Linked DNA regions of Alligator mississippiensis. Each later gene encodes a partner of the first gene's protein in a complex. Links are inferred from orthologs where the notes say so. Each region holds a gene or a part of one and is shown in the gene's direction. Other genes may lie near its edges.

Evidence for each region. The genes of interacting proteins can lie anywhere in the genome.
Region 2: SF3B2 (region 1) and SF3B3 share a complex: the UniProt entries of both Homo sapiens proteins name them as parts of the SF3B subcomplex of the 17S U2 SnRNP complex. The link is inferred for Alligator mississippiensis from reciprocal best matches to the Homo sapiens genes SF3B2 and SF3B3.

Annotation. Positions count from the first base shown.
Region 1 is NC_081838.1:5,518,888-5,526,451, reverse strand, and holds the start of SF3B2 (splicing factor 3B subunit 2), read left to right. Parts: upstream 1-4,491; 5' UTR 4,492-4,514; coding exon 4,515-4,647; intron 4,648-4,755; coding exon 4,756-4,802; intron 4,803-5,067; coding exon 5,068-5,148; intron 5,149-5,916; coding exon 5,917-6,162; intron 6,163-6,618; coding exon 6,619-6,663; intron 6,664-7,564. UniProt on the Homo sapiens protein: Component of the 17S U2 SnRNP complex of the spliceosome, a large ribonucleoprotein complex that removes introns from transcribed pre-mRNAs.
Region 2 is NC_081833.1:36,190,238-36,197,972, forward strand, and holds the start of SF3B3 (splicing factor 3B subunit 3), read left to right. Parts: upstream 1-4,666; 5' UTR 4,667-4,742; intron 4,743-4,909; exon of another isoform or gene 4,910-5,018; intron 5,019-5,063; exon of another isoform or gene 5,064-5,082; intron 5,083-5,677; exon of another isoform or gene 5,678-5,768; intron 5,769-6,545; 5' UTR 6,546-6,598; coding exon 6,599-6,668; intron 6,669-7,086; coding exon 7,087-7,413; intron 7,414-7,735. UniProt on the Homo sapiens protein: Component of the 17S U2 SnRNP complex of the spliceosome, a large ribonucleoprotein complex that removes introns from transcribed pre-mRNAs.

The DNA of each region.
Region 1 (7,564 bases):
GGGAGGCTGGGAGCCTGGACCCAGGTGCCCCCCTTGGTGGGCTTGGCCTGAAGGCTGGCTGCTGGGTTCTCTCTGGCTGCGGGAGGGCAGTGGGGGGTGAGTGGTTAGAGCTGGGTGCCTGGGAGCTGGGAGGCTGGTTCTCTCCCACTCCCACTCTGGGAAGGGAGTGGGGCCTGGGGCGCCTGGGCTCTCTCCCTGGGCTCTCCCAGGTCCTAGGCATGCTCCAGGCAGGATTAGCCTCCCCTCCCCCTCCCAGGGGCTCAGGTTCCCTTCCAGTTCCCCCCCAGGCCCTGGCGAGGGCTCAGTCAAACCTGTTCTACCAGGTGGGGGCGGGGCTGAGCCGGGTGCCCCCATGTGGGCAAGGGGGATGATACAGACGGGAGCCAGGTAAGGGCTCCCTGCCCCCCCCCCCAGCCCTGTGCCCACCTATACCCAGAGCACAGTGGGGGAGGGGGAGGGGGAGGGGGGGAGAGGCTGGGAGCCTGGATGCCTGGGTTCTCTTACACCTTGGGGAGGGGAGCAAAGTGGGGTAGGAGTGAGGGGCACTGATAGGGATGGGGGGGCAGAGGGCTGAGGGTCAGGAGTGGTGGGTACCAACAGGGCTGGGGGCAGGGGGCTGCAGGTCAGGAGTGAGGAGGGAGGAGGCAGGGGGCTGCGGGTCGAGAGTGAGGAGGGGGGAGGCAGGGGGTTGCGGGTCAGGAGTGAGGAGGGGGGAGGCAGGGGGCTGTGGGTCGGGAGTGAGGAGGGGAGAGGCAGGGAGTGAGGGGCACCGCAGGGCAAGGGGCTGCATTCCCCTACATAAAGAAGGCTTCAGCTGAACAAAGAGCAGCTCTGAGCAGAGGCCCAACAGCAGGAAGGGCAGTAGGGCAGAGTGGGCGGAGATGGCTCAGTGGGAAAGGGGGGGGCGGCTCTGGGGTGGGGCTGGGGCACAGGGCCTTGGCCCAGCTCCAACCTGCTTGCTGTATACCCCAGAGCCCAGGCCCCCGTGGGCTGGGAAACCCAGAGCCCTGTAGAGCATCCACAACCAGCGAGGGCCCCGCGGCCCCGGCTGCCTGTAGGACTCTGCTCCTCCCTGAGCCGCGATCGTGTTTCGGGTTGGGATCACACAATGGGCCCAGTGTGCAGCCCACGTTCCCAGGGGATGCCTGAGCGGTCCAGCGCCGTCTTCGCCTGGGAATTCTCCGCCCACCCGGCCAGGCCTCCAGGGCGATGGGCTCCCGGCTCCCGGCTCAGGGCTCAGACCCGTGTTGGAGGGGGAGGGGGCACGGAGGGGCTCATGGCAGAGGCAGAGCCCTGAAAGGTGGGGGTGTCAGGCCTCCAGGTATCCCACACTCCCTCTCTCTGTACCCCAAGGGCTGCCAGTCGCTCTGGTCTCAGCTGGAACTCTAGTGCCCTGGGAGGCAGCTGCATGGGGGGTAGGCAGGGAAACTCCTCATGGCCTGGCCGGCTTGGCCCATGGCCTCCAGACAGGCTCTGTGAAGTCCCATCCAGCCCAGCCCATGCCCGAGGCCCTGTCCCAACCCCCAGATGTGTCCCTGTGCTATACAACAGCCCCAGGGTGCAGCGACAGGCAGCACCTGGGTCCGAGTCCCATCTGCAGCCTGGGGCAGCCTGGAATAGAAGCAGGGAGACGCTGTGCTGCAGCCGCTGTCAAGATGGCTCCCACGCCTCTGCAGAGCTGACACCAGCAGTGCAGAGGAGGCCCCGGCCTGGCCGGTGGGGCTCAGCGCTCAGGCCCAGCCCGGCCGAGATGTCTCTGCACATCGCGGCCCCCGATCAAGGGCGGCTGAGCCAGGCTCTGATCCAGGGCTGCTCCCTGGGCTGCCCAGTGCCCAGTTCCCACATCCCGCCCACCCCTGCCTGCACCCCCAGCTCGTGACCCCTTGGGCTCCAGGCCTCCGCTGGCTCCTGCCTCTGACCCTGGGTCACGTCCTTGAGACAATGAGCTGATTCAGGGGGTGGCAGGGGAAACTGAGGCAAGGGACAAGAGGGGACATTCCCACTGGGGGGTGGCCCAGATTGGGGGTGGGGGCGCTTTTATACCAGTCTCTTATCCGCCCTGGCATGAGCCAATCCCGCGTGGCCACACATCACCACTGGCCAATCCCATGCTGGCGACCCAGGGCCACACACGCACATTCCAGCCTTATCTGGTGCTGGGCCCCAAAGCTCCTGCTGTACCTTATCTTGGGGCGGCTCCTTCCCTAGATGACAACATCCCCCCCGCCCCCCCCAGCTGCCCCCGCCAGGCACCAGTTGGACCCACAGGCAGCGTCCCACCCTCGTGATCACTAATGAAGTCATTAGCCAGCTGGGCTGAGCCCCCAGCCCGGTTAGGCAGGGCTTGCTCAAAGGCGCCCCCAGAGCTGGGTGCCCCCCAGAGCTGGTGCCCCCACACCTGTTATACTCTGCTGCCGACTCCCCACCCTAGAGCCAGTCGTGTCCCGGCACCGCCTTTCCGGTGAAGACAGAAAGCGTGTGGCTAGTGCTGGCTGGAAAGGGCTGTCCCGCTCCGCGCTGAGCACCCAGCACCCCAGGGTCCTTCCAGAGCGGGGTGTGGGGTCTTGCTTCCTGGTTTCTCTGCCCCACTGGGGCCAAAACTGCAGTCTCCACGGGGCAGGGGGCGGATGGCCTTCCCTTCCCACCCCAGGGGCTGCTTTCATCAGCCCTGGACCAGGAAGCAGGAGCTGTGGGTTCAAATTCCTGCAGAGGCTGCAATGTGGGGCATGGATGGGGCAGAGTTAAGGGCAGAAGGTGGGGCTCCAGCGCCCCCTGTGAGCTGGGGCTGCCCTGTGCCCACCCCCCTCAGAACTACAGGTCCTAGCATGCAAAGGCACTGAGGACTATGACTCCTAACAGGCAGTGGGGGTAGTGCCAAGCCCTCATTGGTGGCTCTGGCAGCTTGAAGGCTAGCCCAGGAGGTGATGTCACCGCATTGCTAAAGCACTTGTCACCTGCTGTTGGTGCTCACTGCCGGGCAGGAGGCTGGGGGAGGCAGAGGCACTCTCCCATTACCCACAACCCTTTGCATGCCTGGCTATGCCCACCCCAGCTCACACCACCCCCAGGAGCCTGTTATGCCCCCCCAGTACCCACAATCCTTTGCATATCTGGTAATGCTAACCCCCAGGAGTTTGCTACTGCCCCCCAATAGAGCCCTGAGACCCAGCGATTACCCAGGGCTTGGGAGATCCCCACGCGCCCAGTGCAGGGGGGGGGGGGCAGTTCCAGCTGTGTCCTCCCCCAGCCCTGGCTCAGGCCCAGGTCGGGTTCACCTCCTGCAGTCCACACCCTGGGGGTCTGGACTTGGGCTCTCACCCACAGGCTGGGCTGTGGGGAGGGCACCAGGGCTGGAGACCTGGCAGCTGGTTGGTGTGTGGGAGGGGGAGCAGATCAGGCTGTGCTGAGCTCTCCCTGCAGCGGGCGCTGTGGAGCCAGGGTTCTTGCCACCACGGGGTATCCCGAGGGCATGGCTGGGTCATCATCCATCCCATCACGGGAGACCTGGCTGCAGGCCCCATCCTGGCCCCGGGTGGAGGTGCTGGGGAAGTGTGACCTGAGCGCCCAGAGCCATGCCCCCTCACGCCCCTTTGCGGGAGACACAGGACTTGTGATCGTGCCTCTTGTGCGAGCTGAATGAGGCTACATGCCTGCCCCTTGCACGTGCTTGTGAGCACCTGCCTCGTGTGAGCCATGTGCGAGCAGGGCTGTGGCTCTCCCGTGCGCTCCTGATGGGGCCTGTCATGAGAGGAGAATGCAGCCAGGCGTGTGCCCCTTGCGCACGCTTGTGAGCACCTCCCTCGTGCAAGCTGGCACGAGGCTGTTGCGTGGATTTGGGAATGTGTCTCTTGCGTGAGCCGAATTTAACCAGGCGCGTGCACCTCATACACGCTGGCGAGCACCTCCCCCGTGCAAGCTGTGTGCAAACTGGCACGGAGCTCTTGCACAGACTTGTGAACACGTCTCTCGTGCCAACCGAATGCAGGAGGAGGGAGGGGGTCTGGGAATGGGGGGGCAGGAGGAGGGACAGGGTCTTGGGGGCAAGGTGGGGGGTGGGGCGGGGGTGGGGAAGGGGCTGGGTGCCCTGGGGGAGGGGAGGGGGGCATTGGGAGATGGGCAAGGATGCGGGAGGGGGCTGGGGGGATTGGGGTGGGGTTGGGCAGCGGGGGAGGGGCAGGGCTGGGCGAGTGGGAGGGGGCTGGGAGGACTGTGGGGAGGGGTTGGGCAGTGGGGGAGAGGAGGGAAGGGCGTTCGGGGGGAGGAGCAGTGGACGGGCCGTGGGATTGGGGGCGGAACCACCCCCGCACATGCGCACACGCCACGAGCCGCGGGTGGCCACCCTCCCGCCCCGTCCGCGGGGAAGCGCATGCGCGGCGGCACCCCAGCCGGCCTACAGCTCCCATCCGGCCGGGCGGCACTGCCCTTGTCCCTGACGTCATCGGCGCGCGCCCGCCGGAGGTTCTGTCGCGCACCGCCTGCGCAGTGCGTGGCGGCCGGGTCTGCGCGCGGCAAAGATGGCGGCCGAGCACCCCGAGCCGCCCGCGGCCGAGCTGCCCGCGCCGGGGCCCGCGGCCGGGCCGGGATACGCTGCCTGGGCCCCCGCCGAGCTGCAGGCCCGGCTGGCCGAGATCGGCGCCCCCACGCAGGGTCAGGAGGGGGAGGGGGTGCGGCGGGGCCCGGGGCTGCCCGGGAAGGAGGGGGAGGGGGAGGGGTTACCCCCGGGCCCCGCCGCTCTGACCCGGCCCGTGTGCGCAGGTAGCCGCGAGGAGCTGGTGGAGCGGCTGCAGACCTACACGCTGCAGGTGAGCCCCCGCCCCCGCACCTCTCCAGCACGTGAACATGGGCTGGACCCCACCTGCCCGGCAGCCTTGGCCAGGCCTGGGGGTGGGCAGCTAGGTGGGGGAAGGGGGCACGAGCCTTTCATCCCTGTAACCCAAGCCCTGACGCCTACACCTGTGCCCTTGCGCCCCTGCCCTGCCCCTCCCGGGCGGGTGGAGGAGCACAGGGAAGCCACCGTGGGCCCCCGAGACCCGTCCTGCCCCTGCTCACCCTGTGTCCTTCCCTCAGACGGGCATCGTACTGAGCAGACCGGTCCTGAGAGGAGAGGATGGCGACAAGCCTGCCCCGCCGCCGCCACGCACGGGCCCGGTAAGGAGGGTGTCGAAGCTGGGCGGGGGGGTCCCTGGCACAGATACCGACGTGGGGTGCGAAGCCTGGCCCCGTGGAGGAGCCACAGGAGGCCGTTCTGTCGCCTCGAGCCCCTCGGTTGGGTGGGGGGGCGTCATGCTGCCGGTCTGTGTGCTTGGCGCCGACCCCCCACCCAGAGCTGGCCGCATCCAAGTGAAGAGCGAGAGGCCTGAGGAGGCAGGGCATGGGACACCAAAATGAGCAGCTGTGCCAGGCATCCTGAGCCCCCCCCCACCCGTACCCCCCTTCACCTGGGCTGGCTGCATCCTGGTGAGGGGCCTTCCCGATGCTCTCCCCAGAGCCAGCGACATCCCAGTCCCAGGTGAGAGGTCCTGGACCCTCGGTCCTGATGGCCCCCACTCCCGCTTCCCCAGAGCTGGCCACAGTGTATCCTCAGACCTGGCTGTGTCCCACTGTCAAACAAGGGGTCCTGTATCCCCAGAGCCAGCTGCATCCCGGTGCTGGCTGAGGTATCCCTTTCCTAGCTGGGATGGCCACCCTAGAGCCAGCTGCATCCGAGCGAGGGGCCCTGTATGTCCAGCGCCACTGCCCACCCCAGAGTCAGCTGCATTCCAGCAATGGGGTAAGGGGACCCGAGCCCCAACTCCCTGCCTCAAGCCAGCTGCATCTCTGTTATATTCAGTCCCCAGCATCCACCCCACAGCTGGTTGCATCCTGGCAGACAGCCTGTGCTTTCCTTCTTACCTGTCTCTCTTGTTCCCTCCACAGCTCTCGGGGATCCCGATGCCCCCTCCACCGATGGGGATGCCCATGCAGCCTCCACCGCCCCCTCCCCCGCCACCAGGCATGGGCCTCAATTACTCCATGGGGGTGGGGCCACCCCCGCCACCTCCCATGGGACCTCCCCTGCGTGTCCCCAGTGTGGACCCCGTGGCCCTTTCAGAGGAGGAGCGCCTCAAGCTGGCCCAGCAGCAGGCTGCCATGATCATGCAGCAGGAAGAGCGGGCCAAGCAGGTCAGCTGGGGGCTGTGGTGTGGGGGGGTGGGCTGGGGGCTACAGGGAGCAGCTGTGGGGCTGCTGTCTTGGGTGGTTTGGAGAGGGGCATTGTTGGTCAGGAGGGCATGCGGTGGGTCTTTGGCTTGCTGGGGTGTCTGTATCTTCAGCCCTGCTCTCCTAGTCTGGAGCTGGCCACATCTTGGGGCCGGGCAAGGCGCCCTGTATCCCAAGCCCCAAAGCTTGCCACATCCCAAGTCTGGGCCTCATATCCCCAGCCCCGACACTTGCCCCAGAGCCAGCCACATCCCAGGGCTGGGCGGAGGGCCCTGTTCCCCCTGAGCTCTGGATAGGATCAGACCCAGCTGCCCTGCACTTTGGCACTGCTGTGGGCTGTGGTCTTCCATCCTGGTGCCCCCAGCCCTCTCTTCCCCCAGTATACTGGTGCCTACCCATTCATGCCTTGTTCTCTCACAGGGGGACAAGCTGAAGGAGCAGGAGTTGCTGGAGCAACAGAAGCGGGTAAGTCTCCCGCGGCATGTACTACTGGGTGGGTGGGGTAGCAGCACGGTCTCTGGCATAAATGATGCATGCCCCTGGAGACTGGGGGGGACACGGGGACTGCTTGCAGGCAGTGGGGGCATGGCAGCGAGCGGGGAGCTCCTGCAGGGGGCGGTGGCATCAGCGGTGATTGGTGACCGCCCGCAGATGCTGCTGGCAGTGTTGGTGGCAAGGGGGGTGGGTGGGGAGTGGTGACCACCCACAGGTGCCTCCGGCAGCATCAGCAGAGCTGCTTTCAGGGCGTGCACCACCAATCCCAGGTGCATGTGCACCCCCTGTGCATTACCAATGGTCTGTGGGGTCCCCTTGCCCCCTTTACCAGCCTCATCCCAGCTCTGCCATCAAGCTGTTGCCACACACTGAGGTCCTTGTCGAGACAAACCTGTACTCCGTGCGGGACAGAGATATCTGATGGTACTCAGGTGCAGAAAGAAAGCAGAATACCCTCTTTTCATATACCACATTCCCCTGGATAAGGCTGCCCCCCCCCCAGTTGCCCAGGTTACAGGTAACCTTGCAGGTTGGCTACTGATAAAAAGCAGAAATCGGTCTGCAGCTAGATATTTTTTTGCTTGCACCTGGAAACACAGAAAAACAAACGCTTATCCCTAAGTCTGGCTGGCTGCTGTGACAACACACCATAGGTGCCCACCTGTAGGGAGAATTGAGCTGGAGGGTGGCATGTAGGTTGGCAGGACTTGAATTTGCTGAGCTCTACAGGCTCCCCTTTAGCTTACGCCCCACGTCTGTAGGTGGCTGGTTCTAATATTCCAGCAAATGATCTCTGATTGGTTTTATTTAAGTTTCTTTGTGTTACTGAAAATTTTGGAACTGAACTTGGCTGAGCCAGATCTCATGGATT
Region 2 (7,735 bases), on another chromosome or scaffold:
ATAGCTGCCAAACTCACTTAGTAATAAGATCCTTTCTTAACACTCTCTTTGGATCCAAGTTATCCAACCCTGTTGTGTGTCATAACCTCTAAAAGCAAGAGCCCACAATTTACCTGACTAAACAGCCACACCATCAATACCAATGCAAGGATTTTACCTACCCTCCTTGCCCTGTCGACTGAGCTCAATGACTGACTTGTCCAGAGACAAGTAGCGATGGATATGAGCTGCTGCTTGCTCATAATCTTCATTTCGCAGAGCTGTTTGAACCCATCCATGCAGAACTTCAGGTCCAAGATGTCATCAGCTCTCTGGATGGCCTGATAGAGGCGGTTCTGCAAGAATAGCAGTTGAGATTTCCTTCACCTAGCTGGACTAGAAAAGAGAGCTATACAGAAAAGACAATATAGCCAAAGGGAAAGAAAAATGTGACCCATGGAGTAAGGGGTTACGATCACCTTGTCCCAGACAGGACTTCAAGGTCAGCAGGGTGCTGGGTGAGTAACTTGGCGTCCCTAGGTAGCTGATGACTTGAAAAAATCATGAGAATCCCAAAATTAGGTTGGAACCCAAAAAGGTACAGCATATAGAACCAGACTATAGGTCTCGCCTTTATTAGGAAAGAATAGCCTACAGAAATCACAGGGGCTACTCCGCACACTGAAATCTGCAGTCTCGTTTTACAAAGCTCCACTCCGTCTAGTTACCTTGGCAAGATCAAGCTGTCGGACTTTGCTGCTGACATTCTCAGCCAGATTCCAGGTGAAAGTGATCATCCCCGCCAACTGCCTGGCATCCCCCTCAATCAGTTGCAGGTTGGGGCTGGAAACACACATGCAGATAACAGGTGATACACAAGAAAAGCAGATCTGAAGCAGCAAGGCGTTATACGTAATCCCCCATCTTGTGCCTGCCAGCACCAGTCTTTTAACTCCTGTCAAAGAACATGACAGTGGCATGAGTTGAAAGTCAGATCCAAGAGTCTTATCTGGAAGATAGCAGCACCAAAGGGCCTATCTACCTAACATCTCTCTTACTAGCAATAAAGAGGTGAAAGGAAATACAGTAAAAGCTGTTATCCGGCATCCCCCAGGAATGCCAGGGTTAATCAAATATTCCAGTTAATCAAATGTGCACCATCTGGTGCACTCCCTGGGGTCAGTGTGCGGGGGGGGGGGGGGGGGGGGGGGGGGGGGGGGGGGGAAGGAGCGGGCCGGGCAGGCTGCTTTGCCCTGGGCCGTGTGCCAAAGAAGAGGCAAAGAAAACTCAGCTCAGGGCAGTGAAATGGGAAGTCCCCCAGAAGTGGAACTTCCAGTTTCACTTTTGCCACATCCCTTGGATGCCGGTTAATAGAGTTTTCCAGCTAATAAACTGCCGGTTAACACAGCTTTTGCTGTAGATGTATAAGTTTGTCCTTTTTTAGGGCAGGAAGTGTCATTTTGTGCTCTAGAATCCAAGCTTTTATTAAATATAAAGCTCCAAGCCTTATGATTGTAGAAATAACCTATGCATTGAACTCTGCAAATAGATTCATTTGTATATATCCAAATCTACAGACAACCTGAAACAACATATTTGAAGAGGCGCATTGTTCATATTCAGAGATGTTAGTGCTAAAGCCTAATACCAACAATACCCACTGGGAATGACAGCTCATTTTTTGACATTGTAGGAGAGCTGCAAGTATCATTACCTTCATTTATCACAGTGACTCAAAGAAAAGATTATTCTATGGCATCTTTCATGTCAAAGCACTCTTTAAAGGGAAACAGATTTACTCAGTAGTGAAAAAAAAAACAAAACACCAGCATTTGTGGTATAATGAAGCAGCTGTTGAACAACATAGGGTAACAGCATACAATAATTTAAAACTAGAAGGAAAAAATACATATGCATTTGAATCTAGGCCTTTTTCCCCCCAAGCAACCCTCCAAAATACAAAACAACTGAAGAAAAATAAAAAGCAGGGTATTGTCACTGAAGGACTGATGTGTTTACTAACCCCATGCGATGAAGAGCAACCATCTTGTTCTCTATGGTACCCTGTTGTTCCAACAGGGCCTCCAGCTCTTCTTCCACCACTTTCTGAAAAAGAAAGTGGTCCTATGTCACTTTATGACACTTTCTGGCCAATCACTAATGTCACTAGCTTAGAAGCAAACCCTCAACATCAATGTAGGAGTACACACCAAGGAGGGCTTCTGAAAACTCAGCTAATAACACAGTCTGTCAAAAGCCCCAGTGTTCCATCTTAATCTGGTTACATTTACACTCCAGTCTAATTTCAAGGGTCAGTTTTGAAACCTCTATCATGCAATGTTAAAATAAATCCATTCCTACATTGCCTCTCCATACCGAAGATGTTCCTGGCTTAACTGTCTATAAGAAAAGATCAGAGTACAATAGTATGCTCCAAAGTTAAAAAAAAATGTGAATGTTGCATAGGCAGGATAGTCAGTCTGTCAAGGTTGAGGGCAGGAAGCCTGTAAACCTCTGTACCAATCTCTTATGGCCAGCTAATGAAGCTCTAGCAGAGACATCTAACTTTTCTTGTTAGATGCTTTGCCATTATGACACAGGGAAGGGGAGGAGAGGGGTACTCCACCTTTTGGCCCCCCAGGCCAGATGAGTGACCCCACCCTCATGCCCCACATGCTGGGACTGGGTCCTGAGAGGCCAGTGCTGTCCCCTTTCACCTCCTGCACACTGGGATCGAGTCTCAGGGGGCTGGCACAATCCCCTGCATACCAGGATTGGGTCCTGGGAGCCCAGCACTGTTCCCTCCCACACCCATGAGCCAGGATTGAGTCCTGTTGGCCCAGCACCACCCTGTCCAAGCCCCCCACACTGGGATTAGACCCTGGGACTGGCACACCCTCTGGCCTGCTATGTGTGCTGGGATCAGGCACTGGATCTAGCACACAGGGCCTGGGGCTCTTCGTGGCTCCAAAAATGTGGCTGCAGGGGAGTGGTACCAGCATTCCCCTACCACCAAGTTTCCAGACCTGTGGGGAGCCCCAGAGACCAAATGACATAGTGCCATGGGCCACATCTGGCCCACACTCTTTCTTTATGTTATCTCACCAAGTTATACCCAAATGCTTTTCTGAACCAGGAAATGGATGGAATTGTGGTCCTCCCTATATTCTAACACACAAGAACAGTCCTGGTAAGTTGTTTTACTTCCGTTTGTTTTCACAAGCAAAACAGGTGGTCTTGTTTTCACAGGAGGACAAAACTGGATTTGCACTGAGTGAGGCATCAGCTTGCTTGTTTGTACTGAAAAACCATAAATGTGGTGAGGGTCTCTTTCTGATGTCTCTTCTTTCCCCTGTATGTTGGGCTTTTTTTCCCTCCAAAACCTTCACTCCAAGAGTTGTTTGCATACAAGGCTTAATGGCAAGTAACAGCAATTAATTTAAATTAACCCTGGCTGGTCCAAGAGTGGAAACAGATGCCATCTGATTTCCCATTTGTATCACCTTCAAATTTTTTAAGGCAGTATAAATGCAGAATAGACATCCTTGCCCTTTTTTGCACCACCTAATAAGAGAATCAGTGACACAACAAAAGGGAGTAACAGACTCTGCTGCTTCATTGCGGTGGGCACCTCTTACCTTGTGGCACTTACCTTGCTTGGGGCTGACTGGCCAGGGAAAGCCTCTCCTTTCCCCACTGCCCCAGACCTGCACTGTGGGTTTGGGGCAGCAGGGAAAAGTGCTTCCCTGCATAACCAGACCCTGAGGTTAACTGAGCTGGGGAAATCCCAGCTTTCTCTGCTGCTCCACACCCATTCAGTGGGTCTGGGGCAGCAGGAAGTGCTTCTAGTCAGCCAGCCCTGACAGGCCCTTCAGAGCTGTCTGGACAGGGGAAGACCTGGCACTGCTGCTGCTCTAGACTCACGCTGAGCAACGCAATGCGGGTTTTGCCCAATGAAGTGAACGGTGACTAAGCTGTGTGGCACAGCTGAATCACTCCACTCTGCCACTTCTAATTCCAGCCCAAGACAAGGGGTTCATTTGGATGCTTCGCACAGGCTGTAAGGTCTGGGGTCTGCTACAAGATGAGCTAAACCCAAACAGACCAAACCTGGCATCTATTTTTAACCAAAGGTTTAAAACAAATTCTGCCGGGACAAAGTCTTGTATCCCAGGACCCTGCACATGAACAAGTCCATGTCCCACTGAGAGTGCCCGCAAAGCTCCAAGATAACGCTTCTACTCCCAGGACAATTGGAGCTAAATTGGCTAAAATCAGATGGCTGCTGGCTGAGCGTGGCGGCCTCCCGGGGCCCTAGGAACGGACCAGCTCGCTGTCCCGCACGAAGCACGGGCGCAGGATCCGACCGGACGCTTCGCCTCGCGGCTGGAACCGAGCGCGCTGCGTCCGAGCTGCCCCGCGCCCGCCGGGGGCGACCCCAGCCCGGCACCAGCTTCCAGCCCAGTTTCAGGAGAAGCCCAAACGGGGCGGCGCAGAAGGCGCAGCCGGCCCGGCCCCACCTCCTCTGCGCACAGGCGGCCATAGGCGGCCTCCAGCTCCCGCAGGTCGGTAAGCGCCCGGATCCGCTCCATGGACAAGCACGAGCTGCCGCCGTCCGCGCCCGGCGCCCTCAGGGCCCCGCCAGCAGCCGCAGCCATCCTTGCCCAGGGACGTCACTTCCGAGAAATCAAAAGCCCCAGCGGGGTCTGAGCGGTCGTTGGGGCTGCTGCCCAAGGTGCCTGAGGGACACGCAGCCTTCTCAGGTTTGGCTTGGCCGAGCGAGCGTCCCCAGGCAGGAGCGGGGGGGGGGAGACGTCGTGGTTGCGGCGGGGTCAGAGCCGGGCGGAAGATGCCCACGGGGTCCTTTCATCGGTGAGGTCAGGCGATCCGAGGGCAGCCCCGTGTCGCTCGCGTCGGGTGAGGAAGGCCCCGGCGGGGGGCGGGGCGGCAGAGCGCGCGCACAGGGCTCATGGCGCAGCGGCTCTGCGGGCTCGCGGCCTAGGGGAGACGCGCGGCCGCCATCTGTTGCCATCCGCCCGGTAGGAGCCGCCGCTTGCCGCCATCTCGCGTCAGGCCGGGCAGCGCGGGCCGGGCTCGGTTTCGGTACTGTTTCCTCCTGCGCCGGCATCAGCGAAGGCTGCGGCGCGGCCTGGGCGGGAAGGGGCGGCGGGGTTGCCTTCTCCGGCCTGGCGGCCCCCGGACGCCTTAACTGCGCTCCGCTGGGGCTGCCCTGATCCCGCCGCGCCTCTGCGCCCTTCGTGCGGCTCCGGGACCCTCCCCCGCGTGCGGGTCGCGGCCTCCGCGTGCCCCGGCGCCGCGTTCCCAGGGAGGAGGTGCGCGGCTTAGTAGAGACCTGTTCCGAGGCCGGCTCCTCTGATCCCACGGAGGATTTTAGGGGCGCAGTTGCGTAGGCAGTTTTTGGGGGCCGCTGTCACTGTCGTACCAGTCTCTGGGGGAAGCATCTGCTCGGGCAGGGAGGTTTCACTGCTTGTGGGGAAGTGTGGCTGAGGGCTCGGGAGGGGGGGAAACATGTCCAGGGCAGCCTAGAAATCTTTCTCCACTTTTTTTCCATATAATCTTATTAAGGGCATTGTGTGACACAGACAATGGACCTGCAGACTGAAGTGGACCTGCTTTATTTGTTTGGTGTTGTCCTCTTTGTTCCTCAGCTTCTGAGCATGTCTTTCATACAGGGTTTCCCTGATTCCATTGTTTAATTGCCAGCCACACCTTTCATTGCACTGCTTCAGGCTCTGAAGAGTAGGCAGAATGAAGTACTTCAAGCTATGGTTTGTAGTGTTGTAATCCCCTTCCCCCCCCTCCCATTTTAATTAAGAGCAAACTTTACTAGTGAGCACAGCAGTTTGCCTGTTCATGGAGGAGGAGGAGGTTGTGCTGTATTGCTGGCTCTGTCCTGGGTTGTAATCCGCAACTCATCCCTCTTGTACAGGCAAGGCTATTAACGTTGATGAGACTAAAAGTGAAACCTTGCTTTATTATTCCTTCTTGTCAGCTCTTTCAGATAAATTACTGCAAAGTAAGAGCTCACTTTGTCACTAACCTTCTGGGTTAAACCCTCACAAGTAGGGCTAAATGGAATTAAAGTAAACAGGGATCCAGGACTGATAAACCATTATAACACTGTTTGGAAGACCATAGCAGCAGACCATCATAGCCTATGCAGTATGGGCTTGTTGCACACATTCATGTGCCTGCAAAACCTGATACCTTGACTCTATCATAAAAGTGAAATGAAAATTGCATCTATACAAAAAATGACTTTAAGCATGTATTTCTATGTTAAATTAGAACATTTAGCATGAACCCTTGTATATGGCTGTAAGGGATGGAAATATGTAAAGCTGACATGCATTGTTCATTTACAAATGAATTAAATAACATTTTTCAGAAGCATTGTAAGACATTCGTGCAGACTTAGCAGACAAGATTAAGCTGCTGGCACTTTTCTGTTATATTGAAATAATGTGAAAGTAAGCACTAAATAGATGCAACCTGTTTTGCAATTGGATGTATTCCTGATTTCTAGCTATTTTGTTTATTTGCAGTGGACTCCATAATAAAGCTGAAACATACGCAGTGAAGTAGATTTATCGCCACCATGTTTCTTTACAACTTAACCTTGCAGCGAGCCACTGGCATCAGCTATGCCATCCATGGTAATTTTTCAGGTAATGTCTGTTGTCCTGACTGTCTTTTTGTTACAAGTTACTTAAATATAACATTAGTTTTTCACTGACGTTTTGCTCTTGTGCTATTAGCTGGGTTGACTGACATGTTCAAATTGAGGGAGAGATCTGGTCTTGAGAACTTCCAGGAACTTTAGTAATTCGAGGCCTTGTCTTCACTGACTTGGGTGGCTTTAGTTAAGTCACTTTGCTCTTTGTGCCTCAGTGTTCCTGTCTGTAGAATAGACAGCCAAACACTGAAATATCTGGTCATTAATGATTCTAAGTGGCTTTGACTTTCTCTCCTATAAAGTATCAGGTTTGTAACAGTATTAGTATTGTAACATTGGTCTTGTCCTTGCTTGATTCTTCCACTTGCTTATGTTGATTATTGATTTTTCTCATGGCTTTGGCTTCTTAGGAACAAAGCAACAGGAAATAGTTGTTTCACGAGGGAAGATCCTGGAATTGCTCCGCCCTGATCCTAACACAGGGAAGGTTCATACCTTGCTGACTGTGGAAGTGTTTGGAGTCATTCGTTCCCTCATGGCCTTCAGGCTGACAGGTGGAACCAAAGACTACATTGTGGTTGGCAGTGATTCAGGGCGCATTGTTATCCTAGAGTACCAACCCTCCAAGAATGTGTTTGAAAAGATCCATCAGGAAACCTTTGGCAAAAGTGGCTGTCGCAGAATTGTTCCTGGTCAATACTTGGCTGTGGATCCCAAGGGTCGTGCTGTTATGATTAGTAAGTCAATCTAGGGATCTGGTTGCAGCATTTTAAAGGATTGAATGGTGGAAACAACATCCTTGAAATTATTAACTTGTGTTGTCCTTACCTCAAGGAAGATAGCTTTTGCACCATACTTTGTCAGCTGCAGCAGCAAGTATGCCTTGCAGGCAGTTTTCTAGATTTCCAAATTTTGCCATCAAAGATCCAGATGTTTAGAATTGTTCCTGCCTGTAACCATGATTGCACAAATGAATTCTAAAATTAGGCCAATAAGATTTTGAGAAGAATCTTGTTTAGCAATAAATAGTAAAACTGTTTTGAGGGTGACATTTGGAAA